Linked DNA regions of Macaca fascicularis. The protein of the gene in region 6 interacts with the protein of the main gene of each other region in a pairwise test. Links are inferred from orthologs where the notes say so. Each region holds a gene or a part of one and is shown on either strand. Other genes may lie near its edges. The genes, in order: PTPN11, SCGB1A1, RABAC1, SDCBP, ABI2, TRIM32 and UBE2V1.

Region 1 (4,245 bases), on a different chromosome or scaffold from region 6:
ACTCTTCTCAATCTGGTCTGAGTCACCATTATTCCCAGACCAGAATACTACAGTATTCCCGTATTTTGACTGGCTTCTCCGTTTCTGGCCTTGCCCTCTTCCTCGAGCTTCACAGTGTCCAAAATAATACTTCCCCACCACCCAGCTTTTTCGTTTGTTTGTTTTTTGTTTTAGAGACAGGGTCGTGCCATGTTGCCCCGGCTGATCTTGAACTCCTAGGCTCAAGCAATCCTCCTGCCTCGGCCTCCCAAAGTGCTGGGATGAAGGTGTGAGCCACCATACCTGGCCTGAGTGCAGTGGCCTGATCTCGGCTCACAGCAGCCTCGACCCTCCAGGCTCAAGCAATTCTCTCACCTCAGCCTCCCGAGTAGCTGGGACTACAGGCGCGTGCCACCACGCCCGGCTAATTTTTGTATTTTTTGTAGAGATGGGATTTCACTATTTTGCCGGGGCTGGTTCCCAACTCCTGGACTCAAGCGATTCGCCCGCCTCAGCCTCCCAAAGGGAAGTGCTGGGATTTCAGGCGTGTGCCACTGCTCCCACCCCAAAGTAGTATTTGTTATTATTATTATCGAGACGGAGTTTGGCTCTATTGCAGGCTGGAGCGCAGTGGTGCGACCTCGGCTCACCGCAACCTCTGCCTCCCAGGTTCAAGCGATTCTCCTGCCTCAGCCTCCCAAGTAGCTGAGATTACAGGCGAACGCCACCACGTCCAGCTCATTTTTGAATTTTTAGTGGAGACCATGTTGGCCAGGATGGTCTCGATCTCTTGACCTCGTGATCCGCCCGCCTCGGCCTCCCAAAGTGCTGGGATTACGGGCGTGAGCCACCGCGCCCGGTCTATTACTAGTTTTTTTAGGCAGTGTCTTGCTGTCGCCCAGGCTGGAGGGCAGTGGCGTGATCACGACTCACTGCAGCACCGACTTCCCGGGCTTAAGTTATCCTCCCGCCGCAGCCTCCACGCCTGGCTAGGGTTTTGCATTTTTTGTAGAGATGAGGTCTTTTTTGCCCAGGCTGGCCTCTAGCTCCTAGGCTTAAGCGACACTCTTGCTGCAGCCTCCTAAATTGTTGGGGTTACGGGCGTGAGCCACCGCGCCCAGCCTAATGGAGGAAACTGAGGCTCGGAGACAGTAGGTAATTCCCCAAGGTTCCACAGCTAATGAGTCGAGTGGCGATTTGTGGAACGAAATGAATGAAATCGATGTGGCAGTGGGCCCGGACGCGCCCGGTCGGTGGAGTGGCGTAGCCGCCGAGCGCGCAGCTCACACCCGGCGGCCGCGATTTCCGGGAGGAAGCAAGGATGCTTTGGACGCTGCGCTTAGCGCCTCCGCGGAACCCCCGCGCTGCCATTCCCGGCCGTGGCTCCGTCCTCGGCTAACGGGAAGCAGGAAGTGGCGGCGGGCGTCGCTAGCGGTGACATCACGGGGGCGACGGCGGCGAAGGGCGGGGGCGGAGGAGGAGCGAGCCGGGCCGGGGGGCGGCTGCACAGTCTCCGGGATCCCCAGGCCTGGAGGGGGGTCTGTGCGCGGCCGGCTGGCTCTGCCCCGCGTCCGGTCCCGAGCGGGCCTCCCTCGGGCCAGCCCGATGTGACCGAGCCTAGTGGAGCTTGAGCAAGGAGCGGGTCCGTCGCGGAGCCGGAGGGCGGGAGGAACATGACATCGCGGAGGTGAGGAGCCCCGAGGGGCCCGGCCCGGGCCTCGGCCCGGCCCCCGCCGCATTCGGTCAGCCCCGTCCGGAAGGGGGCGCCCCGGCCGGGCTTCGGGCTCCCGCCCCGGATCGGGATTGGGGGCCAGTTCCCTCCTCGTCCCCTGTCCCTCCTCGGCCCGGGGGCCGGCCCCACCGCGCCCCCACCCCTTGGGTCCCCATTCATTTCCTGCCTCCCTGAGTTCCGGCTGCGGCAGCCCGGGGGATGCCCGTCAGGCCTGGGGCAGGTAGAGCCGCCTAGGGAACCACGGGCGCCAGCGGCCCGGCTCAGCGCCGCATTCCTGACCCATTGCCTCATGAGAATTGCCTCATGGTGATTCCGAAATAACCCTGCTCACTTGGGGAGGCTCCTTGGGACACGAGATGGGAGTTGCGCGGGGCCGGGCCCCCAGTGGTCTAGTCGTTCTGGGTCACTGTGCCACTTGCGTGCATTTGGGGTCTTAACGAAGGACCCCTGACCCTTTTATGTGCCCCTTTGTGTCTTCTTTTTCTCCCACCCCTCACGTGCCAGAAATGGAAAAACTGACTGTATCTGCAGCCACTAGAAGTATTTCCTTCCTCTGCGATATTCGCTTTGGGAGATGGAAAGGAAGGGAGCCGCATCTCGTTATTTAATCCTTCACTGCAACCTTAACAGTCAGGTCACTTTACTGGTACCCGTTTTATGGATGAGGAAACCGAGGCCCAGAAGCAACATGCTAGTAAATGACAAGATTTGAAACTAAGGAGAATTAGTGAGTTAATGAGATCCTTTGAAAGATCAGGGTAATATTACTACTAATAGCTAACATTTGCTTAGTTCTGACGACAGCCCTCTCAGATGGCTACTATTATCCCCATTGTAAAGATGAGTAAACCGAGTTTCGGAGAGGTTAAGTAGATTGCTTAACCTCACAGCTAGTAGGTGGTGGAGACAGAATCCCTACTTTTAATCACTATGTTGCTTCTATTATTTTGTAACTATTGCTAACCACTTGTAAGCCTTAATTTTGTTGTCAAACAGTAGTGTGACTTGTTTTCAGATAATGATCCTGCTATTTTATATAATCACTCTATATACCACTCACACTTAAGACCCATTGTCTATTCTTTTCCATGGTTGTTCAATTATGGTCACTGTCTCAGACATTTAAAAAACGATTCAAGCTATTGAGGCTATTTGAATGAGATTTTTTTTTCTTTCTTTTTTTTTCTCTTTTTTTGAGACGGAGTCTCACTCTGTTAACAGCCCAGGCTGGAGTGCAGTGGCACGATCTCGGCTCACCACAACCTCCGCCTCCTAGGTTCAAGCGATTCTCCTGCCTCAACCTCCCAAGTAGCTGGGACTATCGGCATGCCACTATGCCTGGCTAATTTTTTTTTTTTTTTTTTTTTTTTTTTTTTTTTTTTTTTTTTTGAGACGGAGTCATGCTCTGTCGCCCAGGCTGGAGTGCAGTGGCCGGATCTCAGCTCACTGCAAGCTCCGCCTCCCGGGTTCACGCCATTCTCCTGCCTCAGCCTCCCAAGTAGCTGGGACTACAGGCGCCCGCCACTTCGCCCTGCTAGTTTTTTGTATTTTTTAGTAGAGACGGGGTTTCACCGTGTTAGCCAGGATGGTCTCCATCTCCTGACCTCGTGATTCGCCCGTCTCGGCCTCCCAAAGTGCTGGGATTACAGGCTTGAGCCACTGCGCCCGGCCTAATTTTTTTTTTTGAAACAGAGTCTCGCTCTCTTGCCCAGGCTGGAGTGCCGTGGCGCAATCTCGGCTCACTACAAGCTCCGCCTTCTGGGTTCAAGCCATCCTCCTGCCTCAGCCTCTCAAGTAGCTGGGACTACAGGTGCCCGCCACGACGTCTGGCGAATGTTTTGTATTTTTAGTAGAGACGGGGTTTCACCATGTTAGCCGGGATGGTCTCGATCTCCTGACCTTGTGATCCGCCCGCCTCGGCCTCCCAAAGTGCTGGAATTACAAGCATGAGCCACCGTGCCCGGCCGAGTTTTGTATTTTTAGTAGAGACGGGGTTTCACTATGTTGGCCAGATTGGTCTTAAACTCCTGACCTCGAGATCCGCCTGCCTCGGCCTCCCAAAGTGCTGGAATTACAGGCGTGAGCCACCGCACCCGGCCTGAATGAGATTTTTCAAAATATTAGGAATGTCTCCTCCAAACAGACCTGGCATGTTATTCTTACATGGATCTGGAATTTAAAAAGGGGAGAAAAAAGAAAACAGAACTCGTAGGAAGTGAGTGACTTGGACAGGTCTGTTGGCAAGTGCTTGCGGATCTGGGTAATATATAACTGCATTTCAACGGAACAGTGTATAGCCTCAAATGTTCTAATTCTTTAGGGAGCTTTTAAATAAACAGTTGTCTATTCTTTAATCTGTCTAATAGTCATTGAGCCTTTTGTTCCTGGTGTCTGCTCTTCCAGACAAGTAAGGATTTGCTGCTTTAGGGGGCTGAGGGTTGGGAAAAGATCTGTGTAGTATTAGACCCTACATTGTCCAGTTTGTTAGTTTAGAAGCATGGAAGTGTGGGCATAGTCAAAGCAGCAAGTGGTAA
Region 2 (3,979 bases), on a different chromosome or scaffold from region 6:
GGTTTTGTTACCCGCCGGAAACTTGCCTCTCCTCAGTGGCTAGGGATGCCCTGAGCCATGCTTCACTGCGGGCATGTGACAAATTCAGGCTCTGGCAGGAAGAAGCGATTGTAAGCCGGGTGCGGTGGCTCACACCTGTAATCCCAGCACTTTGGGAGGCCGAGGCGGGCGGACCACGAGGTCAGGAGTTCCAGACCAGCCTGGCCAACATGGTGAAACCCTGTCTCTACTAAAAATACAAAATATTAGCTGGGCATGGTGCTGGGTGCCTATAATCCTAGCTACTTGGGAGGCTGAGGCAGGAGAATCACTTGAAGCCGGGAGGAAGAAGTTGCAGTGAGCCGAGATCTCGTCACTGTACTCCAGTCTGGGCAACAGAGTGAGACTCTGTCTCAAAAAAAAAAAAAAAAAGGAAGAAGCCATTGTGATTGTACCAGCCAAACATGGGCCTCCCAACCTGGCCGGGAAGTGTGGCACACTCAGCTCATGGACAGAGCAGCCACTTGTACCGCTGCATTCCCTTCAACACAGAGCTTCAACACTGTGTTTTCTTCTCAGGTCCTTACAATCAGGAACATGGGGGAAAGTCACCATTTTCTACCCCCTGCTTGCCTCCATCTTCCCAGTGAGTCTTAAATCCCTTGTCCTTGAATTCTCTGCCTCCCGTACAAATTTGCCTTCCCTCCTCTGACTCCAGGGCCTCTCTAGAAAGGGCCACTCTAAGTCAGACCCTCTCCAGAACTTAGGTCCTTGCTTTGTAACTTACTATGTCACCAGGCAAGTCACTCTGTCTTTCCGTAGCTCAGTTTTCTCATCTGTAAAATGGGAACAATATCCCTACTTCATTTTATTTTTTATTTTTTAAATTTTAATTTAATTTTAATTTTATTTTTATTTATTTATTTGTTTTGAGACGGAGTCTCGCTCTATTGCCCAGGCTGGAGTGCAGTGGCGCCGTCTCGGCTCACTGCAACCTCTGCCTCCCAGGTTCAGTGATCCTCCTGCCTCAGCCTCCCAAGTAGCTGGGACTACAGGTATGCATCACCATGGCTGGCTAATTTTTGTATTTTTAGTAGAGACAGGGTTTCACCATGTTGGCCAGGTTGGTCCTGAACTCCTGACCTCAAATGAGTTGGCCTCCCAAAGTGCTAGGATTACAGGCGTGAGCCACTGTGCCTGGCCCAGTATCCTTACTTCATAGAGTTGTTGTAAGAATGAAAAGAGAGGCCAGGTGTAGTGGCTCACGCCTAATCGCAGCACTTTGGGAGGCCTAGGCGGGCGGATCATGAGGTCAAGAGATCGAGACCATCCTGGCCAACATGGTGAAACCTTGTCTCTACTAAAAATACAAAAATTAGCTGGGCACAGTGGTGCGTGCCTGTAATCCCAGCTACTTGGGAGGCTGAGGCAGGAGAATCGCTTGAGCCCGGGAGGCGGAGGTTGCAGTGAGTGAACTGAGAGTGTGCCACTGCACTCCAGCCTGGCAACAGAGCTAGACTCCATCCCAAAAAAAAGAAAAAAGAAAAGAGATACTATGTGAAAGGGTGACAGTGATTGTCACATTGCGTGAAGCGTTAAATATTGTATGTGTGCGCACACAAATAGACAAATGAAATGCATCTGACCCACCCCTTAACATGTTTCAGAACTATCTTGCTCAGCCACCCACCTCTGTACGCAGACAGCACTGAGATCTAATTAATACACATTTCAGTCCAAGATGATGTCATTTTCTCTGAAAAACAAATAAGCCTTGCTGCAAAATAGTTGTTCCTACTGCTTCTTGGTTTGGGTTTTCTAACTCCCCAGTGTCATAAAACTTATCTCCATGGGTGCTGTGAAGCTTTCCAAGTGAATTAATTGGAGTTTATTTATTAAAAAACAACAACAACATTTTCAGACGAGAATGGAAGAGGCTGATGCAGAGTGAAAAACAGAGTTAGATAACCCAGTTCTCCAAAGACGGGGGATCTTGGAGAGAGGTGTGATCCTTCCTTCCTTCTTTTCTCCCCTCTCTCCCTCTCTCCCTCTCTCTGTCCACCCCTCTTTCCCCCACAATTCTTTTCCTTTTAATGACAGCAGCAACTACTCAGAGACTCCTAATCCCTTTTGCAGAGGACAGAAATGTTTAGAAAACTCCACTCTGGGTTGGCAGTTCCCCAAAGGGAAGATCTCTTTCTGGAATATTCTTCTGTGCCCAGAATGGGATACCTTGTCTTGGGTTGGGTTTCTTTTGGGGTCATGAGTCCCTGCAGTTCCCCTTCCAGTGACTTCAGCTGCCAGCATGGAGTGGAGACCCCAGCCTTGGAGGCTGCACCAAGGTCTCGGCATCTTGGGGTGTGTCCAGGTCTGGGAGGAGGGCCTCATTATTCCTATGCTGGATGCACTCATCTTTATGAGGTGTCCTCCACCCCTCCCTCCAGCCTATTCCATTCCCTGGGATTCTGAGGGTTGCTGGATATGGAAGATGGGACCCTTTTTATGCTTCCTCACAGCCTGGGGCTCTCTCCAAGTTCCCAAGATGAACTTGCTCACCAGACCCAGTTTTCTGAGACTCAGCATGCCCAGGTCCTCCCAGCGGCTACAGAGCAGACACGGGCAGCTCACCCCTTCTTCTGAGCAAAACTGGGGGGTCCTGAGAGTTCCTAAGTCCAGGAGGGAGGGAAGGGACTCTGAGCACTCACCGGAGCTGCAGTAGAGAGCCAGCGTGACCAGGGGGAGGGTGACAGCAAGTTTCATGGTGGAGGCGGGGGATGCTCTGGCCCATCAATGATTCCGTCTCTGAGACTGGTGGGCTAGTAGGAGACATGCCCAGCAAGGTGCTTTTTATATGCTCCAGGCGGCAGCGCCCAGATGGGGAAGGGTAGGGCAAGGGCTCTACGTAAGATACCGCACTATTTGCTTGGGCATTGGCTCGGCGGAATAGGTAAATATTCCCGTTTCTCAACTCAGTTTCTGTCCCCATTGAAACTGAGCTCACACAATGGGCCCCTTGGGGGTGGAGTGCCGAGCCATGCCTGAAGGCAGTGAAGGGAACCCATGTCAGAGGATGGGGAAACCCAGCTGCCTGTGTCAGTCACTGAACCTGGGCACTGGGGCAGTCCAGGTCAAGAGAAGCAATTGTGGAGCCCACCTGGAGAAACTGAGGCCCAAGGTCCCTCCCAAGTGGCAGGGAGAGGACTAGGACTAGGACTTAGGATGCTGACACTCCACTGGGCTCTTTCATAGGCTCCCCTCTGAGGAGGGCGACTGAACCTTAAGCCAGGAAAGTGACGTGGTTCGGAGCATTGCCGTGGTCAGACTTGGGGGGGCCCTGGACTGTTGAACAAAAGGGACCCTTCCAGAATTCCCATCAGAAACCCGAGCCCTGCCACAGGCTGGGTCTGTTCCCACCCAGAAGTGCTCTCAAGTCCTGTGCTCCTGATGGGCCAATTGGCAGGACCTTCAGTCCTTATCTCACTTGACCTCCCAACGGCCTTGACACCTGCGACCGCTTCCTTCTCGAACCATTCTCTCTCCTGCGCTCCCACGCCTCAGTTCTTTCCTGTTTTCCTTCTCTGGCTATTCCTTCTTGTTCTCTTTAGATGTTTATGCTTTACTGTTCTTGAGTGTTGATGGTTCCCAGGCTTTGGCCTTCTCCTCTTTCTTGCCTCCAGTTGCCATTTCCTGGTTCTTCTCCAAAGCCCGGGCTTCATAGCACCTAGCCTGGCCTAGTCAAAATCCCCTGACTCAACCTCCCTGCTTCCCAGCTTGCTTTCCTCAGCCATCCTCGGAAAGGCCATCGGAATGATTTTCCTAAAGCCCATTGGTCATGTCCTTCTTGAAACCCTTAAACTCTTCCTTTTGCCTATAGAATAAAATTCAAGTGCAATTTACAAGGCCCTTGCCCACTGGCCTTTGCCTACCATTTGAACTTCACTTCTCCTCTCCCCGACACAGCGACTTAGCCCTCTCTTACTATTTGTGGATTTGAGAATGT
Region 3 (4,210 bases), on a different chromosome or scaffold from region 6:
TTTACCTTATCATCTTGCCCACACCCCAGGTTCCACCCCAACCCTGATCTGCACAGTATTCCCAGCTGCACCCATAGAGACCCACAGAAGATGCTAGGGGAGTATTTCCTGAATGACACCCGTAACAGCTTTATTTTCAAAGGCGGGATCCCTCCCCGGGCTTGTGATGGGACGGCGCTATGGGCCCGAGCAGCAGAGCTGTGCAGGAAGGAGTAGGCAGGGGCGGGGCAGCTGGCCCGGGAGGCTGGCAGGTCCCAGAAGACACCTCACACGGGTTCCATCTGCAGCTCCTCCCCGTCCACAGCCTCAATCTGGTGGAAGGCAGCATGGGAGCCGATGACCACCAGGGTGGCTCCTGCAGGAAAGCCGGCAGCTCAGGGCCATGCTCCTGTACCTGGCCCCCACCATCCACCCCAGCTGCTCAGACCCTGTACTCACCCAGCACCCAGAAGACGGCCGAGCCCGCACCAGCCAGCCAGAAGAAGGGGAAGGAGATGCCTCCAGCCAGAGCGTACTGATGCGCTGGGCTCACCTCTCGGCCTGAAAGCAGATGGCATTGGGGCGCTGTTCCGACCCTTCATGCCCTCTCCCAGAGTAACCCCTGCTGCCCCCCAACAATCTGTATAAGCTTCAGGTCCTCGGGATCAAATCCAAACTCCTCATGCCAAGGCCCTCCAGGTCCTGGGGTCACCCTGCTCCCCTGGTGTCCTCACTGCCCTCCAGAACACAGCACACCGTCCTCGCCTGCCTCAGCCCCACGCTCTGCCCTCTGCCCCACATCCTCCAGGAAGTTCCTGGGATCCCAGCTTCCTGCTCCCTAGACTAGGGCTCTCCTGCTGCAACCCTCACGCAGACCAGGGGTCTCAAACTGGTGGCCCAAAGGCCAAATCTGACCTGTGGATGTGTGTTTGTTTTGAGATGTTTTACAAGGATGTGATTTGTGGCTGGCAAAGTGAATGATTTCACATAAAAATACCAACTTCACGCTTCCCATAGAAGTCTCAGGGATGGGGTCTGCATGCTCTGGTGCCTGTGCTGCAGGCGCTCCCTCCCCCTAAGCCCGTCATGCACATAACTTGCAGGCCCCTGAAGAGCCTGGCCTTCAGGTCTACCTGACAGCCCAATCCCAACTCCCTGACCCCACTCCAAACCTTGATTTTCCCCTGGGGGGAATTTCCCCTGGCATTTTGTTCTCCCAGTGGTCCTTGGTACTAGTCTGGGAACCACATGAAACACACTCCTCAGCTTCCCCAAGTTCCAAGTTCTTTCTGGTCACATCCCAGAAAGCAGGAAAAGAAACGGGAACAGATCTAGGCCAGTGTAAGTTCGCCACCTGGTGTCCAGTGTGGGCACCTGCAGCTGATGCTTGCCGCAGAAAGCGGCAAGGGGAGGAGAGAGGGGAGGAGTCATGTGGTTTGAAGAGGAGTAGGTTTAAGGCACAGCAGCCAGGTGGAGCCTAGGTTTGAGGAATAGCAATTTGAGGGGGCTGAGACTCGATGGGAGCATCGGTTGTGTCTGAGATTTTTAAAGGATCAGGTTTGGGAGATCTAGTGTACATCTAGGCTTCGGCGGACTTGGGTTTTGAAGGACTTGGATTTGGGGTCTGAGGTTTGCATTCCAAAAGACCAAGATTCGAGGGACCAAGGATTCATCTGGGCAGGGGGTTTCTCACCAAAAAGCACAAGCTTGGACTGCAAGGTGCGCAGATAGAGAATGTAACAGGCGCCGAAAAAGACAGCCAGAGCCACCAGCAACATAGGGGACGTCACCCTGGAGGAGGAGTGCAGGGAGGCAGCGGTTAGGCAGCTGGGGCTGGTCAGCCAGGGAGCCCTGGCCTTCTCCACCGGCGGGAGGCAAGCTACATTCTGGAGACCAGGGAGGGCCAGGTGACATTCAGTCACACTGCATCCTGGCCAGGGTGATGGTGGGGTAGGGACCTGGCCCTTTGGTGACAAAGTAGGTCTAGCAGAGCCAATCCTTGGGGGCGGGGCCGGCCTGGGCGGTGAGAGGAGGGGCCTGGGCGGTGAGGGGAGGGGCCTGGGCGGTAGGAGGGGGGCCTGGGTGGTGAGAGGAGGGCCCGGGCGCTGAAGGGCGGGGCCTGAGCTGTGAGAGGAGGGGTCCACCCGGTCGGGGCTAGTGCGGGTGCAGGGCCCGGGATGCACTCACACGCAGTACAGGATGAGGCCCAAGAACACGAACACATAGTTGCTCTGGTAGTACTCCACGTTGCGTACGAGGCGCTGGCACAGCTCGCCCAGGTTGCGGGGCCGTGAGAAACGCTGCTGGTCCACGAAGGTGCCCCACGGCCGGATAGTCGCGCGGCGCCGCTCCAGCCACTCCCGGCCTGCACCGGAGGGAATCAGCTTCGGCAGCAGGGTCCTGCGAGGGGTGGGGCCGGGTCAGTGGTGGACCGGGATGGAGCCTCAGACCCCCGCAAAAGAAGGGGTTTAAGGGGGCTTGGACTCCCTCCCGGGACCCCAGATTACTGAATCGCAGGCGGGGAGGGGGGTAGGGGCCCAGACGCCAGGGTCCCATTAGAGGAGACCGGGGCCAGCGCTTGTGCGTCTCGGGGCTGGGACTCCGGGCACTCGAGGGAGGAGGGGGCCAGGGTCCCGGACTCCCGGGCCTCGGGTCCGAGGGCCTAGAGCCGGCTCGCTCACGTGGCGCTCAGCCCTTCCGCCTCGACATCTTTCTGCTGGTCCTTCTGGGCTGCCATGTCTGCGTCGTGAGGGGTAGAGCTGCTGTAACCAGCCCGGTACCCTGCAGACCCCGCCGGCCCCGCCCGAGGCCGGCCCCACCCAGCGGAGTCGACGTGGCGCCGCTCGGGAGCAGCTGGGGACTGTAGTTCTGCCGCCGATCATTGTGGGAGTTGTAGTCCTGACGGTGGCTGGGAGGGTGGGCGCCATGATGGCGGTCTGACTCGCAAGACACCTTGGGAGATATAATCCCAGAAAGTGACGGCGCGCACCTCTGGGCATTGTGGGACCTGTAGTTTCAGGAGGGTGCAGGTGCGCTGTCAGGAAAGAGGGCGTTATGGGAGCTCTAATGGCAGAAGAGGGTGTTGTGTACTCTCCCAGGCAGGGCACAATGGGGACCGTGCAGAGCTGTCGTTCTGACTCTAGAGGGCATAAAAAAACAACTAGAGGGCTTGCTAAAACAGACTCCTGGGCCCCACCCCAGATGTTCTCATTCAGCAAGTCTGGGGTGGAGCCCATAATTCGCATTTCTGAGTTCCCAGGTGATGCTGATGCCGCTGGTCCATGGACCACATTTTGAGTAGAAAGATTTAGAGAGTTTGTGGGAATTGATTCCTTCCTCAAGAGATTGAGGCTAGTGAGTGGGTCATGGTTGCTGGAGGGGTATCTGAGGTTGCCCCCTGCCCCACTTTGTGGAGTCCCAAAGATGAATGAGTTGGGACTAGGGACACCTCCGCACCGCCACCACCCCCCCCCCACCTGCAAACACACACACCTTTGGACAGGAGGGAGTGAAATTGGGAAAGAGAAAAGGTTGGGAAGTTTTGTGGGTTTTTCTGGGATGGAGTCTCACTCTTGTTGCCCAGGCTGGAGTACAATGGCACAATCTCAGCTCACTGCAACCTCTGCCTCCTGAGTTCAAGCGATTTTCCTGCCTCAGCCTCCCAACTAGCTGGGATTACAGGCGTGCACCACTATGCCCAGCTAATTTTTTGTATTTTTAGTAAAGACGGGGTTTCACCATGTTGGCTAGGTTGGTCTCGAACTCCTGACCTTGGGATTCGTCCACCTCAGCCTCCCAATGTGCTGGGATTACAGGCATGAGCCACTGTGCCTGGCCCCAAGTGACTCTTTTAGGCCCAGGTCTTGTCTTCCAAGATCTACGGCACTTCAGGGTTTGTGCTTGGAAGCCTGCTGGAAGGCGTTCCCAGGAGGTGGGGGGAAGATGGCCCTGTCCAAGGGGCTGGTGGTGCAATAGGCAGGGAAGCCCTTTGCAAGGGCCCCACACTGAAGATGGAAGAGTTACACTTTGAAGATCAGATTGGCTAGTTACTATTTATTTCCTCTTTGTCACCCCCAGGCTTTTAGTGGAATCGGGTTTTCTTTTTCATTTTTGAGATGGAGTTTCGCTCTGTTGTTCCAGCTGGAGTGCAGTGGCACAATGTCTGCTCATTGCAACCTCCGCCTCCTGGGTTCAAGCGATTCTCCTGCCTCGGCCTCCTAAGTAGCTGGGA
Region 4 (4,108 bases), on a different chromosome or scaffold from region 6:
TGAGTGCTGACATGAGGACCAAGGGAAATGCTCACTGGAGCATTTTGGGTTTTGGAGTAGGGATGGTAAACTCGTAAGTATATAATGCAAATATTACAAAAGCAAAAAAAAAAAAATCAAAAATTGGAAACATTTCTGGTCCCAAGCATTTTGGCTTAGAATGAGTCTGTTTTAAAGTTGTTCATGCAAACTTGCTATAATTGCTTTTCATTCTGTCTATTTTTTTAGAGGAGTGTCAATTTTTTCCAGATTTTCTATGTTAGAAATCATCTCATCTGAAAGCAAAAAGTTGTGTATCTTCCTTCCCAATCTACCTTGTAATTATTTTTAAATGTCCATTTCATCAGCCTAACTATAACCTTACTGACGGCAAAGTTTTCATCTTTAGTTGTCACCTCTTTTACACTCAGATTTTTATTAGTTTTGCCACATATTAAATTATTGTGGCACTAATTTAGCTAGAAATAAACAGCTTGTAAATGCTATTTTGTCAAGGACTCTACAGTATTCCATGGTAACTATGCTTACTCTTGGGTAAACTGTGCCTCAGTTTCTTTGTAATGGGATGTTGTATTTATTTTATAGACTGATGTGAAGACCAAATAAGACTATATATTAAGTTCGTAGAGCTATGGCTGGCACAAAATCAGCCCTCAAGAAATGATCGTTATGTTTTTGTACTGGGAAGCAATTACTTTTGCGCACCACCACAAGTAACTCTCAGCAGCGAAGGAATATTAGCTCAGGAGGACATCGTAATACGCCCCCCCGCCACCCCAACATCCAAATTTCAAACAGAAAAATAAAGCAGGACTTGCGAAGGGGTCGTGAGAAGAACGTTTCTGAGCCTATAGTGGACAGGTACAGCAAGCGGAGAGTGTTACTAGGGCAGCAGTGGTGGAAGTCGAAGGCATCCCAAGAGGGAGCATAGGCTCCAGAGACCTCTTTGAATTGGAGGCGACGAGGACCAAGAGACCGTGAGCTGCGATACACACTGTAGTGAGTGGGTGGCACGGGGCCCGCGGGCACTAACTGCCGAAGAGCGGAGAAGACTGGGAGCATAACCGCTGGGCAGCGGAGAGCGGCCGGCATGGACCGCCCCACACTGCCGAACACCTGGAGCTGCAGGAACGACCCACGCCCAGGCCTCTTTACCCCTACCGCCCGGTTACCTTAGGGACGCGATCACCTGACCCTGCGCGGTGCGCCTGCGCGGGCCGAAGGCGGGGGGCGGTGCCATGACGCGCCTCGGGGGCGGTCCTCGGGCGCGCGCCGCTCTCTTACCCTTGGGCCTCAGAAGTCCGTGCCAGTGACCGGAGGCGGTGGCGGCGAGCGTTTCCTTGTGGGGCTAGGTAAGAGGCCAAGCGGGGAGGAAGGACACCGGTGCCGGGTCCCGGGCGCGGGGACTTGGGGCAGAGGCGTGAGGGTCCCCGGGCCACTTCACGGACTGCATCCCGGTCGCAGCCGTTTTCGGGAGGCAGCGGCGACGCCCTCTCCTCAGGGTGCTCCGCGCCCCTCCCTGCGCCCTGCTGGCTGGGTGGCAAGTTTGCGGGAGCAGCGCGCTCTGCCTGCCGCGACCCCGCGGGTTTCGGGCTCCTGCGTGGGCTGGGGCTGGGGCTGGGGCTGGGGCTGGGGCCGGGGCTGGGGCCGGGGCTGGCTGAGCCCGGAGGCCCGGCCGGGTGAACGCCGGCAGCCCCCGCCCCAGCTCTGGGGTTCTTCCTGGGACAGTCTCTCGATCCTTGTTTTCTCCTCGATACGATCTCGAGTTGAGTAAAGAAAGAGCCTCTGGTCACGGTTCCTCCCCGTGCTCCGCGTTTCTTGGTCTGTACTTAATCACCCTCCTTTTGGGTTATTCGGGAAGTCCTGGATTTGAAAGGAGGAAGGAAGTGTTCGTTTAGTGGGCGAAGCCTTGACTTTTTTTGGAAGGGGGTGGGGAGAGGTTTTTCGCCTTGAGCTTTTTCCTGGAGAAGTTGGACCTGAGGGAGAAACGTTTCCAGTTGGGTGTGTTTAGAAGGAAATACCCCTGAGATCTGACGACTCAGAGACTTCCTTTCAGGATTTCCTTGTAATAATGGGAAAGGGAAGGCATATGGATGTGGAAAGTTTCACTTTTACCAAAGTGGGATTATTGAGTCATAGAGTCTTCGAATGTGCCCATTTTTGAAAGGAGTTTCTAGATTATCTCGTCTGTATAACCACATACAAGTTTACTGTTGACTTTTCCATTGCGTACATTGCTTAGAAAATACGCTCGGCTTACCAAACTCTTAATATCTGCTTGTTTCAAAAATAAATAGTTGATTAAAGGAGGACATTTACATTGAAAAACAACGGCGGGCCTTTTAAATTGATTTCTAAATGTGTATGTGATTAGTTAAAACTCAAATTTGTTCAGTCTTTTTATTTTCCTGTTTAAGATTGAGGGATAACGGTAGAAAATATGTCCTTTTGTCTTCTGTGTTACCAACTTAATTCTATAAACTTTTGTGCCTTAAATGGTACAGAAATATTATAAATCAAGTGGTTTGTGGCACAGAATAAAAAGAAGTAGAATGACTTTTAAAATGGTCAGTAAGTAGTCACTCCATTGAAAATTAAATTTAACTTTGGAGACATTAACTTTTAGTTTTGGGCATTATAGGAAAAGATGTAAAAAGGAGAAAAAGAGGAACAATAGGGGAAGAATTTGCTAATGGTTGCCGGTTAAATGTACTGTTTAAAGAGTTTCTTAAAATGAGCGTGACACAACTATTTTCTCTGTTTTTGCCAGATTTGGGTACTTTTCATAGGTATTAAATGCCAAGAGATTCTAAAAAAGAAAAGCTCCCCCAAATAACTTTAAAATACTTTCTACTTTTAGCAATAGTTAACGTTAGCATTTATTAATTTCTTTTCAAGTGCTGCCAACATCTTTTGTAAATGTATTGTTTTTGAGTAGGTAAACAGTCACATGTCTCAAAATTTAAGCAGTGTAAATAGGTATATAGTATCAAGTCTCCTTCTGGCAGGCAGGCAACTTTTTTACATTTCTTAGGTATTCTAGGGATATTTTATATCTACATAGGCAAACATATAAGCTGTATTTGCCTCCTTTTAGCACAAACATTAACATTTTATATACTGCTCCACATTTTGCTCTTATTTTTCCAGTTAGTGATAATATTTTGGAGCTTTTCTAATATCAGCATGTATAGCTTTCAAGTCTTTTGCTGTTACAGTCAGTGCTGCGGTGAATAAACTTTTACATATGTTGCTTCCTTTGTGCACATATATTTGTACACTTCAGGTTTTGAGACCTGAAGTGATACTGCAGAGTTGGAGGGTATCTGAATTTAGAATTTTGGTAGATACTGCAAACTCACTCTCCATGGTAATTGTACTAGTTTATGCTCCCATTAGTAGTATATGAGTGTTTCTCAAAGCCTTGATGTCAGAGAATGTTGTCAAACTTTGGATTTTTGCCAATTCACTAGGTGAGAAATGGAATCCTATGGGTAAGGATTAAATATTCTACTTGGAGTGGACTTCATATGGACATACTTCTTAATGGCTGATCATTAGAAACCCCCAGGATATTTATTAAAAAGAAGAGTTCCTAAGTCCTTCCATGAAATCTGTGTCTGCCCAGGAAGCTGATTTTATAATAACTAGAGCCTCGGGTAATTTGGCTGTGATGATTAGCCAGATTGAGAAACATTGCTCTGGAAGACTGCTTAGGATATATCAAATTGTGTTTCTAGACCTCATGTATGAGCCATCTGGAATGCTTACCATCTGGGTCCAATGGATACTTTATTTTTTCATTTTTTAGTTTTTATTTTTTTTAGAGATGGAATCTTGCTGTGTTGCTCAGGCTGTTCTTGAACTCCTGGGGTCAAGCAGTCCTCCTGTCTCAGCCTCCGAAAGTGCTAGGATTACAGGCATGAGCCACACGGTTCCTGGCCTGATACTTTATTTTTATATTTTAAATTTTTCAGTCACTCTATGAATAGTTTGCAGAAGTGAAATAATGAAACACAACTTTACGGCCGGGCCCGGTGGCTCAAGCCTGTAATCCCAGCACTTTGGGAGGCCGAGACGGGCGGATCACGAGGTCAGGAGATCGAGA
Region 5 (4,006 bases), on a different chromosome or scaffold from region 6:
ATTAATATTAATATTTACGTTTTAAATTTTAAAATGTCACCACACTAAATTTTGAGTCCCATTGCTAAAACAGATACTGAGAGTAGTGACATTTTTCTCTTTTCAACTGCAGGAAATGTATATAATATTTAAAAAGACAACTGCTGCTCCCTTTAACCTTTCAGCTTTAATAATCCTTATCCTTTTACCTTTATATAGCAATTATAACTTAAGACGAACTTGTCCCTTCAAATTACAACAAAAAACCATCTTGCAAAAGAGAGAGAAATCTGCTTATTTTTTATTTCTTACTGGTAATAATTGCAATCCACTTTTCCACCCTCAATTTCTCTTCTGACCTGCAACTCTTTCCCCATAATATGCTGCACAAGGCAATGGAATTACCACTTCAGTCCTTTAGGTTTTGCCTCTACTAGAGTTTGTGAATTCCCTCAGAACAGCATTGCTTCCTCCAGTCCTCCTTGGCACCAGCAGTGCACTACAGAGCGTAAATTAACTACATGGTATTAATTTCCTCCAAGATCAGCCTCTCCTACTAACTAGACTATCAAACTCTGTAGACACTAGGTATGTACCATCCACCCCTCACACAGTTCTAGGCCATAAAAGACTTTCAATTTTAGAGAAACATTGAGCAACTGAACCTTTTTTTTTTTTTTTTTTTTTTTTGAGATGTAGTTCTACTCTTGTCGCCCAGGCCTGAACCTCTGAATCTTTTCTACCCCACTCATATCAGCAAAGTACCTTACAAGTGGACATTTGTATGTTTTTGTATTAACCTTGCCTACATTCCTTTCCTAGTAGCCATACTCAACTGCCTCTTGAGGGAACAGGTTTATACTGTGGTTCATTTTCAAATACAAATGTTGTCTACAAGATAATAGTATGTCTAATCAAACAAAATCTCACTTCCGTGATCAACAATGTGGCCATTACAAAACTTATGAACCTATAAAATTGTAACACCAGTTTCTTAAAATTTACACTAAAACATGAAAATGCTTTCCTATACAGCTAACGTTAAGAAAGGTGCCTCACGCCTATAATCCCAGCACTTTGGAAGGCCGAGGTGGGTGGATCACTTGAGGTCAGGAGTTCGAGACCAGTCTGGCCAACATGGTGAAACCCCATCTTTACTAAAAATACAAAAATTAGCCGGCTCTGGTGGCGGGCGTCTGTAGTCCCAGCTACTCGGGAAGCTGAAGCACGAGAATTTGCGCAAACCTAGGAGGCCGAGGTTTCAGTGAGTCGAGATTGGGCCACCGCACTCCAACCTGAGCTACAGATCGAGATTGTGTCTCAAAAATAAAAGAAAAAAGAAAGATCCCTGGAGAGATGGAGGTGGGAGCAGGGGGGGGGAAAAAAAAAAAGGACTGTGAAGAAACAGTTCAACATACTGCTTCCATTTCCACCTTTATCCCAAGAGAATTTAAATAGGAAAGAAAAAAAAAATGGAGGCAGAATCCATAATTCAAAATAACCGTTAACAAAAAAGCAAAAGATGCTGGATTTTGCAAACTGCATTTTAACCTGCTATCCTTTCAAGTAATGTTTAAAGAAGGATTTTTCTTTAATCCACAGAATATTTTGCTTCATCCAGGAGCAGCTGGATCTCGTATCATCCAGTATCCCCCGCCTCCACACACACGCCGCTACCACTATAAGCCCCTGTGCCAAACGATCCATCACGGTAAAAAATAATAATTAAAAAAAAATTTAAAAAACAGGAGGTTCATCTTCCCGATTCTAAGAAACAGTCATAGTCCGTCCTCTTCCCACCCCCAGGAAAATTGCCTATTCTAACGGGACTAGGAGGGAGGGGGGAGTCAGCTCACCATCCTTCTCCACAGGGAGAAAAATGGCATTAACTTCCAACAAGAGACTGCTGCTCTTCTACCGTATCCCCTTTAGAACATAAAATATTAAGAAAGGGTTTCTGAAGCATTCACAGGAACAGAAAACTGAAGCCTGAAGCACTTCACTCTGCAGCAAGATAGCCCCTTAAAAATCGTCCAGAATGTGGGGGATGGAAGTAACCCGTCAATACAAGCGACACCCCTACCCTAAGAGGGAGCAGGATTCCGTCAAACAGAAAATGCCACTCTCCGCCCCCTCTGCCATCCGGAACGCTGACCGGCGCGGAGTGCGGGGGCGGCCGAGGGCAGCAGCGGCGAGGAGGCGGGACGCGACACACGCACCGCGCCGAGGACTGCTTCACGGCTTTTAAAAAGGTTTTAAAAATGCAGTTTCTCCAGCCGGAGGATTCCCACCCATTCACCAGCCCCAGCCCTCACCCAGCTCCCCACCCCCATCGGGGACTCCGCCGGGCCGTGTCCCCGCGGCGGCCTCGGCCCCACACCCCGAGGCGCGCGGCCCCCCATGGGGGGGTCCCCTACGCGTTCCTCACCGCCCCCTGAGGCCCGACGCGCCCCAGCGGGGGATGCTCTCGCACCTGGATGTAGTTGTTCTCGCAGTAATCGGCCACCCGTTCCAGATTCGTGTAGCTGTCGAAGAGGGCCCGGCGGCCCCCCGGGATTTCCTCTTCCAGCAGCATCTGCAACTCCGCCATCTTCACATCCTCCTCCTCCTCCTCCTCCTCCTCACACAGCTCGCAGAGGGAACGGCGGCCGCAGCGCCAGAGAAACCCAGGACCGGGAGAGGAGGAGCGGTGGCGACGGCGGCGGTAACTCGGGAGGAGCGAGAAACAGCCCCAGCGCGCGACAGGGGAGGGGGCGACGGGGGCGGGGCGCGAGCCGACGGACTGCGAGGACGGTCACCGCGGCGACGGCCGGCCGGGCGCGCGCACGCGCGCTCCCCTCCCTCCGCCCCCGGGAGCCCGAAAAAGATTCCCACCCTCGCCCGCGCCGCCGGCCCCTCCCCCACTTCCGGCGTCTCCTAGCGACGGCGGGGGTAGGAGCGGGATGCGCACGGGAGGTGGTGGTGCTGTTAACCCTTCCGCCGCCCGCCCACCGCTGGAGCAACTCGAGAAGCCCCCACCTCCCGGCGTCCTTTGTTAGTCCGGCGGGAACGCACCACCCTGCTCTGCTGGCTTCCCGCCGGCTTCCTCCGGGACTCATCTCGGCTCTGTCCCCATGGAGGTTATCGGCCTGGGGAACTTCTCGAGTCTTTTCTGCCTCTGCCGCTGACGGGAGGCCGAAGGAGGGCACAGCCTCCACTCTTGGGATCCTCCTCTGTGAAAGATCACACTTCATCAGGGCAGGAATAAAACTCACAAACTTCCACGCAGTTTTCAATGCCACCTGACTTCATTTTTCTTAAATTTGACCTCATCCTCTTTATTGCAGTGAATTGCAGTTTCCTAACCCCAGCTTTCCTGCGCTCCTGCCTCTTTGCACTTCCCCCACTAACGCCGTTCTCCCCTGCCAGGTTAGCCCCTTTCTCTTGTGGTTTGCGGACCCCTGGGCCTCAGCTTTTTATGTTTGCCATTTCTATGAATCGCTTCCTCACGATCTTTTCTGTCATTTCTCTAATGCTATCAACTTCGCTGTCCTTTTTCCTATTCATGGATTCGGTATTTAAAATTTTGAAAACGATTTTGCTAGTAGTAATTGCCTTCTTCACAGGGCTGTTACATAGATAAAATCAACGTTTACGTGAAAACACCTTGAAGAAACATCAAGTGCTACAAAAATTCAAGGCAGATTCTTGAATTTTGTTCTTGCAGAGTTATAATTGTTTTTATTCTCCAGATACTGTGTCTTGTTTTCCTAAATCCGACTACCCCACACAGTGTAATCTGGAAAAACTAAAACTCCGGACAATTGCTGAGATATGAAGCCATGACCTTTATTTGTGCTGTGGAAAATCAAAGTTGACTCCAGTCTGTACCATCTTAGACTTGTGTAGTTAGAACAAGATCCATTGTTTCAACACTGTTCTTAATCTGGTGATCTCTTGGCCCTCCTACAGTGAATTTTTTTTCACTCAGATGATGAGGAAACATACTTTCCAAAAAAAGTCACTTTAGCCCGGGCGCGGTGGCTCA
Region 6 (4,080 bases):
CTCCCTTATCCCCTACCTGCTAATTGCAATTTTTCAAATATAGTTATCATTAAGTACAAACTACCATAATCTTGGTTTATCTTCTTGGCAAACTTCACTTAGAAATTTAGAAAATGGGGAGAAAGAGTAAACAAGGTTAAGAGTGGGTTCTCAGATAGAATTGGGTACAAATCTGGGCGCCAATACTTAGGCACAGGTGGCCTTGTTAGGTGTAGGTTAACCATCAGCTGCCTTATCTCATGAGGTCCTTATGAGGATTTAGTGAGCTATGCACCTGAAGTCCTTAGCTGTAGCCAGACAGCAAGTGTTCAAAGATGTTAGTCATTGTTTTTGGTTACTGTTTTATCATTGTGCAGGGTCACATAGCTAAGGGGAATTTCAAATCCAAGACCATCCTACTTCAAACTCCTTTGTGCTCCTAAGCTGTACAGTATAATCACCTTGGAGAATAGGTGATTGGCCCCAAACTACTTCGGGGAGTGCAGGTCGTGGCTAGTCAGTCCTGTATCAGACCTCGTCCTTGCCAGATGCCTAGTGCCCTAGATTCCCTCAAATCTCAGGCCAGGTCACCTCCCAACTGGTAAGACTCCTCCACCTTCACCTCTGACTCCCCAAAACTACACTTGGTTTGGATTCCCGGGTACCTTCAGCCTGCAGGGACAGGGGCTGCAGCGTGTACTCCCCATGTCTGCCTCTGCTGTCGGCCTCCCAGCTGAGTAGGCAAAACGTTCCTTTACAGAGCAATGTGTTCATGGATAAACTTGTCTCTAGTGCAGCGCTCTATCAGAGCACAGGACATGGGGCCAAAGCACTGCCCTTCCTAGGGAGTCCCGGTTCTCGACCTCCCCAGAATGGAAGTTTGATTCTTCCGTTGGCCCATTTCTCAGATGGAAAAACAGATTCAGCAAGGTGCCAACGCTTTGTTGAGGACTACCCTGGAGGCTACAGTTTTGTGAAAGGGTAGACATTTGGACTGGAGTCAGATACGCATTCTGGCTTATCTCCTGACTTACTGAGTGAACTTGAGCAGGTCTCTTTCGCCCATGGGTCTCGGTTTCTTCATCTGCACAAAGGCGACGGAACACTGGATTACGTGTCGCTAAGGCCCCGGGTTCTCAGAGGAAAGCTCACCCCTGCAGGGCCGCCTGGCCCCGCGCGCTGGGGCCCGCTGCACTACAAGCCCCAGCATGCCTCGGGAGGCGGGGCTCAGTGACGGACAGGGAGCTCTGCGAATTGGCGCCCGGCAAAGGGCGCTCAACGGCGCGTGCGCAGAGGACGGCGGGCGGGTGGGCTGGCGGCGGTGGACTCGTCGGAGCTGCGGGCGGTCAGGTAGGGGGCGGGAAGGAGGGCTGGGGACTAGGGACCGCGGCCGAAGTCGTGGGCCGTGGCTCAGCGGCCGGTCGGGGGAACGTGCCGGCGTGCAGCGGCCGCGCCCGAATGGCAGGGTCTGGGGACCGGATCTGAGGGGCAGGACTAGGGTGGGGGTGGGGCTGCCAGGGGCAGGCTCGGGAGGGATTCGTGGGGCTGAGGAGATCCGCGGAGATGGAGCTGGGGGAGGGGAGCGAGGGGCTCTGAAGAGATATGCGGTGGCAGCATCTCGGGAGGTATGAGGTAATGTGGGGGCCCTGAGGAGGAACGGGGTGCAGCATGTGGGAGATGGGAAGGAATCAGGGCCCTGGAGGGACCTGGGTGCAGAATTTCAGAAATATGAAGGAACTGGGGGGCCCCGATGAGATTTGAGGGAATCTGGGGGCGCTAGGCATCTGGCAAGGATAGGGTGTAAGATGATAGGAGCAAGGTCTAGGGCGATTCTAAGTGCTATTGAGAAAGGGCTTTCGGAGTGGGCTGAGGGTGAGATAGAGGGGGTGGGGTGAGTTCTTGGGGGACTCTTGTTAGCAGGAAGAAGGGAGCTGGCTGAGTTGTGAAGGCAGCACATGACATTCAGTGCATAAGAGGAAGGAGCAGGGTTTGAGGGCGGCACAGTGCCTGATGGAATGCAGGAGATGGGGGTTCAGATTGAGGGAGAGCAGAAATCTGAAGTGAGGAATTAGGGCGTTGAACTGAGGTGCGGAGCTGAGTGCGGCAAAGATTTGGAAATAGGGATTAAAGGATCTGTGTCCGAGGGATTTGAGGCATATGAGTGAGGAATTGATGAGGGTTGCGTTATACAGCCCCAAAGATTGGAATTTGGTATTGTAAGAGGGTTGAGGACAGGGTTTGGAGAGGATTGAATCGTGGGGTGGAGATGTCCTAACTGGGCTATAGAATCAAAGGACACTGAGTAGATATGTGGATTGGTGTCTTGGGCTGCTAAAGAGATTTTCCTTAAATCGCTGCATGGGAGACGGGGGGAGTTTAGGGGACCCAAGGACCTAAAAGTAATGTATGAAACTCTGGATGAGTATATGAAGATGAGCAGAGTTCAGGTGTTCAGGAACAAAGTGATAAATCTTCAGTTCAGATATCCTGAAGGAGTGTGGTAATCCCTGTGAAGGGTAGAATCTTCTTCATTTATTAAACAAAGATCCGTTATCATAAGGCAGGTATGGTATTGCCACTAACTACACTCTGACCACCGCCTTCTCCCTCCCCCTCCCCCGGTCCACTGAAAGTGGTAGGCTTTGGGGAAGAAGAAATGGAACTATTCAAGGTCATCTGCCTAAGCCCTTTTTCCTTGTACTCCCAAGCTACCATAGCAGATAGAATGTGAGACCTCCAGGGGAATGAGTGGAATAATTTATCCTATATAAGATCCATTGCAGCTTGAAGGGGCAGTGGCTCTGTGAGTGAGATGTTTGGGCTCGGAGAGGGACAAAAAAAACAAAAAAATCAAACAACAACAAAAAAAGGGAACCCTTATGTATTGAGCATTTAGTCCTGTGCTAGACTGTAAAGCAGTGGTTCTTAATCAGGGGTGGCTTTGTCTCCTAGGAGACATTAGGCAATGTCTGGAGATGTTTTTTGGTTGTCACACTTAGGGTGGGGGATACTACTGGCCTCAAGTGGGTAGATTAAACATTAAATATAATGTTTTATGTTAATGTTAAACATTTGACAATGCATGGGATAAGCCCCTCCCCCCCAGTAAGGAATTATCCTGCCTAAAATGTCAGTAATGCCAAAGTTGAGGCACTCTGCCCTAGAATCAGATACCCTGGGTTCAAGTCCTAGCTCTATCTCTTCCTGACTTTGTGGCCTTGAATGAGTTACTTACCACCCAGTGCCTTGGCTGTTCATCTGTAAAATGGGGTTATGATAACAGGACCTATGTCACAGAATTGTTGTGAGGATTTAGTGAAGTAAATTAGCATGCCTAGGATCTGGCACATAGTAAGTTCTCAAAGTCTAGTAATTTTTAGTCTTGTATCTACTTCTTTACTCAGTTTTCATGACAGTCCTTCTAAGGACTGTATTCAGTTTTACACATGAGGAAACTAAGGCTTAGGAAGTGACTTGCCTAAGTTTTCATAGCTAGGAATGACACAGTTAAGCTCATACCCAGATCTCTGTAACTCTGTATTTTCCCACTTTCCTTGCTAGGACCCGCTTAGTCTTATTTTCTCAGCCCATTCCCCTCTAATGAAAACGAGGATTGCCCAGTGAGAATCACTGACTATCAGATTGAACTCTAAAGTTGGGGGATAAATCTCTCTGACTAGATTGGGAGGAGCCCTGGACTTTGTTCTTGGTTTGTTCTTAGACCAAGACCAGGGGCTAGATAAGGAGAGGAGCTTGAAGTTATCAGGCAGGATGAGGTGCAGCGGACTATGGGGTGAGGTATGGAGGCTGTTGGCTTGAAAAAAAAACCTCACAGCAGGGACTGAGGCTGAAGGCACAGCAGGGACTGAGGCTGAAGGCAGTCATACTTTGAAGGAGAGTAACTACTGTTGTGTATGGTCTCTTTTGGACTGCTTTTCCCTGGAACAGAATAGTAGCATTGGCTCTATCATTTCCAGGACTAGCTACAGCATTGCTGAAGCCAGTTCAGAAACAAAACTTGACTGTATCTGACAGCAAGACTTAGCTGGAATATCCATGCACATCCCTAAAAGAAAATATGTCATGGGAATTCAATCAGTC
Region 7 (4,258 bases), on a different chromosome or scaffold from region 6:
CCCTTACAGGAACTCAAAGGCTTCACAGCTGTTTCCTGGCAACCAGAAGCACAGATTAATAAAGAGCCTCACTCTAAACCTGACTAAGGAAGGCCTCAGGGCCCTGACCACACCTGGAAGACTTCTCAGGGTTAGAAAGCAGGGAGGCCTGTACACTCATTTTAGTTTAACCCAAGTAAGGTCTGCTTAGCACCCTGCACTCTTTTCACTGCCTAGGGACTCTTAGCACCCTGCACTCTTTTCACTGCCTAGGGACTTAGGTCAGATCTTGCCATACTCCTCTTTTTAAGACTCTTATTTATTCATTCAACAAATATTTACTGACTGCCTACTTCATACCAGATACTTGTTTGATGGCTTCCCCTCACACCAAGTCAAATCCAAAGCCATGTCTCTCCAACTCATCTCTTTAACAAGCCTTGCTTGCACACTAAGGCCTTTTATCCTGTTCTTTCAACATGCCAAGCTCAGTCCCACCACAAGGCCTTTGCACTCACAGTCCACCCTCTCTCCTACCTGTGACACTGTAGGGTTGGCGCTTTCCATTATTCCCCTCAGTTGAAATGTCACTTTCTCAGAGAAGCCTTCCCTGACCACCTCTCCAGACACTCTTTATCATATCACACAATTTCCTCCATAGCACTTACTGCTATCTGAAATTGTCTTATTTATTTACCCCTTAACAGCCTTCTCTCCTTGACTCGAATGGAAGCTCCCAAAGGACACAGACTATGTCTGTTTTGTTTGCTATCCACAATGGGACATAATAGGCCCTCAGTAAATATCTTTTGAATAAACAGACAAAAAGAATTTTGGGAAGTCCATTTTAGGGCACCTCAAAGCCTGTTCTATGTTATTTAAACCATGCCAAATGCTCTTGTATTCCACTCGAGAGCAGCTGACATTTTATCTGATCGCCATAGCCATTTACGAAGCACTCACTTTTTAACTGTCAGGGTCTCCAGAAGTTAGAATCGGGCACCTGTTAACTCAGATTGTAGGTAGCCAACCGAGTGACTGCAAGCAGGGCTGAGCTGCAACAGCACCTTATTGCTGGCTACCGCCAGCACACTGGGCCCCTTGCTTCATTACGACCTGGTACGAGTGTTATTCTGGTGAGAAGTTTCCCCCAGCAGTCTGGCCTGACTCAGAATCTCTCTTCTGGGAGTGCCTGGGGCAGCGTCTTGGTAAATGAATTGACTCAGCACTGTTCCAGCTGAAACCAAAATCGAGTAAAAGGATTCATGGTCTCCGCTATGCTGCAAGAAGACCCCACTGTTTTAAATGCAAAAGGCAGCAGCTTCTGGTGGGTCACTTCAGTCAGATCCCCCATATTCAATTTCTTTTATTCTCACCCCAACCATCAGACAAGTATGGCTCCTTGAGACCGCAGAGGAGCAACACTGTAAAGAATTTCCCTCACCCTATTTCTCATGGATCACCAATTCCTTCCCAACACTGCCCCTGCTGTGGCCTTAAATACCCCAATGACTGCCGTACTCAGGTTCGTGTCCCTGCAGCCCCACAGTGGGGAACACTGTGGTTCTGTTTCCTTCCTCCATCAGAGGTAACCCATCTTCACCCCATCTGAGAGCACCTCCTTGGCCAACTTCACTGCCAGGCACCCGAGGGTGCAGCCTCACCCAAGAGTGTCCATTTCATCTATTCACCTCCCTACTCCCATCAGCCAGTGGGGAACTTCTGAGCTGAACCCACATATCTGTCCCAATTATCAAAGGAGTGGATGAGAGTGAGCGTCTCCACAGAAGAGACACTTCTAGGATATGCTTCCCTCACTCAATTCAAAAAGAGGAGACTTATCTCGTTTACAAGAAACATCTCTGGAACCCGACCTTCTCCACTAACTCATTTCAGGGGCTTCCCTCAGTTGAATCCCCACTCCCAAAGAGACATCCTCGGGATTCCCAATTCACCTGTTCTTCCTCATTCAATATCAGAGGCTTCCACCAATTGCCCCAACGGACCTGTCCCCTGAAAGCGAAATTGGAGCAATCCATCTGTATCCTCGAATAGGAGACTGGTAATGATGGGGTCATTTCACTATCACTGCAATCAAGTCCCTGTGGCATCTGAATCCTTTCCCCCCCGCTCTCACTTATCATGCGGAGATTCCTTAATTCTCCCCAAAAGCAGCCGCTCCAAGGCTCCTCCTTTCTAGTCAACACAGCTATTTCCTCGGCTAACCCTATCTCTAAAACTAACGCCGGAGCCGTCCCCTCAACCAATAGGGGATCCTCTCGAGTCACCCCCTCAGGATCCCGTTTCTTCCTCCCATCCAGCTTGAGGGGCTCCTCTGATGTCCCCTCCAGACATCCCAAGGCCCCCCCCTCAGCCGCACCCCTGGCACCCAGTACGGGACTTCCATCCGCTGTGGGGCGCCTCCTCCTCTAAGGAACCCCTTGGTCGCCCCTTAAAGAGTCGCCAGCCCCGGTCTCCTCAGAAGTGCCTTGGAGCTCGCTCCTCGCCCACTCCGGCTCCCCCAGGTAGCGCAGCGGGGCCCTCACGCCTCCCGGGGGAGCCTTAAGGCTCGCCGCGCCGCCCACAGGCCCCTCAGCCCCCCGCCCGTGCTTCCGGCCACCGCCTGCCCGTGGCTGCAGCGGAGCCCACCGGACAGAGGCGGCGCGGGGACCCTGGCCCCCCTGCAGGAGCCTTTGAGAGTCCCCAGCCCCCGGCCCAAGCCCATGCCCCTTCGGCCGGCCGGGCCCGGCGCCCCCGCTCACCCGAGCCCGTGGTGGCTGCCATCTTGCGTCGCTGTTGCTTGAAGGCCGGCCCCTTCTTCACCCCCCACCCGTCCCCTGGCCCTGATGCGCAGGCGCGCGCGCACGCACAGACGCCGCCACTGACGCCCGCTCCGGAGACCTGCGCGACCCGAGGCCGGGGAGGCTCTTTTCCTTCCCTTTTAGAGAAAGGAAATATCTGCGTGCTCGAGGGCTCAGCAACCTGCAAGTCCCCCCACATCGGGTGCGAGGGAGGTTGTGACGTGCTTAGTGAGAAGGGCAGGGGTGACGAGGCTTGGGAAGGCGCGATTGTGAAAGAAAAAGAAAAGATAGCTTCAAACAAAAGCGCCGAATTCACTTGGGGCTTTTTCCTGTCTAGTTCCTATCTAGATCCTCACCACATCTCCACAAGGTCGGAATTAATGTGAAAAATGCAGCCGAGAGAGATTAAACGATTTATCTAAACTCAGCTGTTAAGTGGCAGAGACAGACAGAATTTTAACCTCCAGGTTCAAATTTGAATTTGAATCGTCACCCTCCAGGTCAGATGATCTGGCTTCTAGGATTGATGCTCCCTGGCCAGAGAAGGCTTGAAGTGGGTGCAGCTAAATGATTTGGGGGCAATAAGGTGGCAGGGAAAACATTTGCTAACCATCTGCCCAATTCATTCATTCACTCATTCGTTCGTTCATTCATTCAACCAAACAAACATTAAGCACCTACTATGTACCAGACACTGTGCTAGGAGCTGGGGATGGATAGACATCTCTGAAGAAGCAAATCCCTGCTTTCAGGGGCTTCCATTCTAGTCATAGATAGCAAGTAAATAAACAGGAAACTACAATTCTGATAGGCTAGAGATAAACCAAGAAAAGGGCAGCGGAGGATGGTCAGGAAAGGCTTCCTAACGTGGTCGTATTTCAACAGAGACCCTAACAATGAGGAGGTAGAGGGAACAGCTTGTGCAAAGGCCCTCGGGAAATATTTTTGCAAATAAACCCAAGAAGTTAATCCTCCTATATTATAAATTGTCTGAGAAGCCCTTATATGGATGTAGACCCTGAAGCTGAGACAGGTGAAGGGACTGGCTTAAGGTCACAGAGCAAAATACTGGCAGAAGGACTAGGACTCTAAACAAAGAGGGACAAGGAAGCTGGAAGCCCTCACCCAGCACATCCAATTCATCACCTTTGTCTGACAACAATGCCTACTCTGCATCTCTCCTGCTCCATTCACTTCTCCACTCAGGACAAGCTGTCTTTATCTCCTACTTGGAAGACCCCGGCAGCTTCCATTCTCTCCCCCATGGTCCATTCTCCATATGGACCAACATCTGCTCAAAACACCCTCCAGCTAAAGCCTTCAGTGGCTCCCTATTCCCTCTGGATAAAATGCAAACTCTACAAGTTGAGTGACCATAGATTATCACCTAATGAGGACACTCATCAGATTAAAAGAGGACCTATTATAATCTCACCAGGGCAAGTGGAAACCAGGGCTCTCCAGGGCAAACCAGGATG

What was found.
Region 1: the proteins of TRIM32 (region 6) and PTPN11 interact in binary tests that used the Homo sapiens proteins (3 or more experiments, as listed by UniProt). The link is inferred for Macaca fascicularis from reciprocal best matches to the Homo sapiens genes TRIM32 and PTPN11.
Region 2: the proteins of TRIM32 (region 6) and SCGB1A1 interact in binary tests that used the Homo sapiens proteins (3 or more experiments, as listed by UniProt). The two-hybrid records come from large-scale screens. The link is inferred for Macaca fascicularis from reciprocal best matches to the Homo sapiens genes TRIM32 and SCGB1A1.
Region 3: the proteins of TRIM32 (region 6) and RABAC1 interact in binary tests that used the Homo sapiens proteins (3 or more experiments, as listed by UniProt). The two-hybrid records come from large-scale screens. The link is inferred for Macaca fascicularis from reciprocal best matches to the Homo sapiens genes TRIM32 and RABAC1.
Region 4: the proteins of TRIM32 (region 6) and SDCBP interact in binary tests that used the Homo sapiens proteins (3 or more experiments, as listed by UniProt). The two-hybrid records come from large-scale screens. The link is inferred for Macaca fascicularis from reciprocal best matches to the Homo sapiens genes TRIM32 and SDCBP.
Region 5: the proteins of TRIM32 (region 6) and ABI2 interact in binary tests that used the Homo sapiens proteins (3 or more experiments, as listed by UniProt). The link is inferred for Macaca fascicularis from reciprocal best matches to the Homo sapiens genes TRIM32 and ABI2.
Region 7: the proteins of TRIM32 (region 6) and UBE2V1 interact in binary tests that used the Homo sapiens proteins (3 or more experiments, as listed by UniProt). The link is inferred for Macaca fascicularis from reciprocal best matches to the Homo sapiens genes TRIM32 and UBE2V1.

Annotation. Positions count from the first base shown.
Region 1 is NC_088385.1:119,340,137-119,344,381, forward strand, and holds the start of PTPN11 (tyrosine-protein phosphatase non-receptor type 11), read left to right. Parts: upstream 1-1,445; 5' UTR 1,446-1,652; coding exon 1,653-1,666; intron 1,667-4,245. UniProt on the Homo sapiens protein: Acts downstream of various receptor and cytoplasmic protein tyrosine kinases to participate in the signal transduction from the cell surface to the nucleus. Positively regulates MAPK signal transduction pathway. Dephosphorylates GAB1, ARHGAP35 and EGFR.
Region 2 is NC_088388.1:11,638,154-11,642,132, forward strand, and holds the start of SCGB1A1 (uteroglobin), read right to left. Parts: upstream 2,801-3,979; 5' UTR 2,740-2,800; coding exon 2,685-2,739; intron 1-2,684. UniProt on the Homo sapiens protein: Binds phosphatidylcholine, phosphatidylinositol, polychlorinated biphenyls (PCB) and weakly progesterone, potent inhibitor of phospholipase A2.
Region 3 is NC_088393.1:48,998,616-49,002,825, forward strand, and holds RABAC1 (prenylated Rab acceptor protein 1), read right to left. Parts: upstream 2,801-4,210; 5' UTR 2,717-2,800; coding exon 2,661-2,716; intron 2,380-2,660; coding exon 2,167-2,379; intron 1,771-2,166; coding exon 1,673-1,770; intron 541-1,672; coding exon 439-540; intron 356-438; coding exon 267-355; 3' UTR 105-266; downstream 1-104. UniProt on the Homo sapiens protein: General Rab protein regulator required for vesicle formation from the Golgi complex. May control vesicle docking and fusion by mediating the action of Rab GTPases to the SNARE complexes.
Region 4 is NC_088382.1:68,531,546-68,535,653, forward strand, and holds the start of SDCBP (syntenin-1), read left to right. Parts: upstream 1-1,308; 5' UTR 1,309-1,352; intron 1,353-4,108. UniProt on the Homo sapiens protein: Multifunctional adapter protein involved in diverse array of functions including trafficking of transmembrane proteins, neuro and immunomodulation, exosome biogenesis, and tumorigenesis.
Region 5 is NC_088386.1:99,220,140-99,224,145, reverse strand, and holds the start of ABI2 (abl interactor 2), read right to left. Parts: upstream 2,801-4,006; 5' UTR 2,570-2,800; coding exon 2,453-2,569; intron 1-2,452. UniProt on the Homo sapiens protein: Regulator of actin cytoskeleton dynamics underlying cell motility and adhesion. Functions as a component of the WAVE complex, which activates actin nucleating machinery Arp2/3 to drive lamellipodia formation.
Region 6 is NC_088389.1:41,394,299-41,398,378, reverse strand, and holds the start of TRIM32 (E3 ubiquitin-protein ligase TRIM32), read left to right. Parts: upstream 1-1,280; 5' UTR 1,281-1,329; exon of another isoform or gene 1,330-1,611; intron 1,612-4,080. UniProt on the Homo sapiens protein: E3 ubiquitin ligase that plays a role in various biological processes including neural stem cell differentiation, innate immunity, inflammatory resonse and autophagy.
Region 7 is NC_088384.1:106,203,791-106,208,048, forward strand, and holds the start of UBE2V1 (ubiquitin-conjugating enzyme E2 variant 1), read right to left. Parts: upstream 2,801-4,258; 5' UTR 2,764-2,800; coding exon 2,742-2,763; intron 1,217-2,741; exon of another isoform or gene 943-1,216; intron 1-942. UniProt on the Homo sapiens protein: Has no ubiquitin ligase activity on its own. The UBE2V1-UBE2N heterodimer catalyzes the synthesis of non-canonical poly-ubiquitin chains that are linked through Lys-63.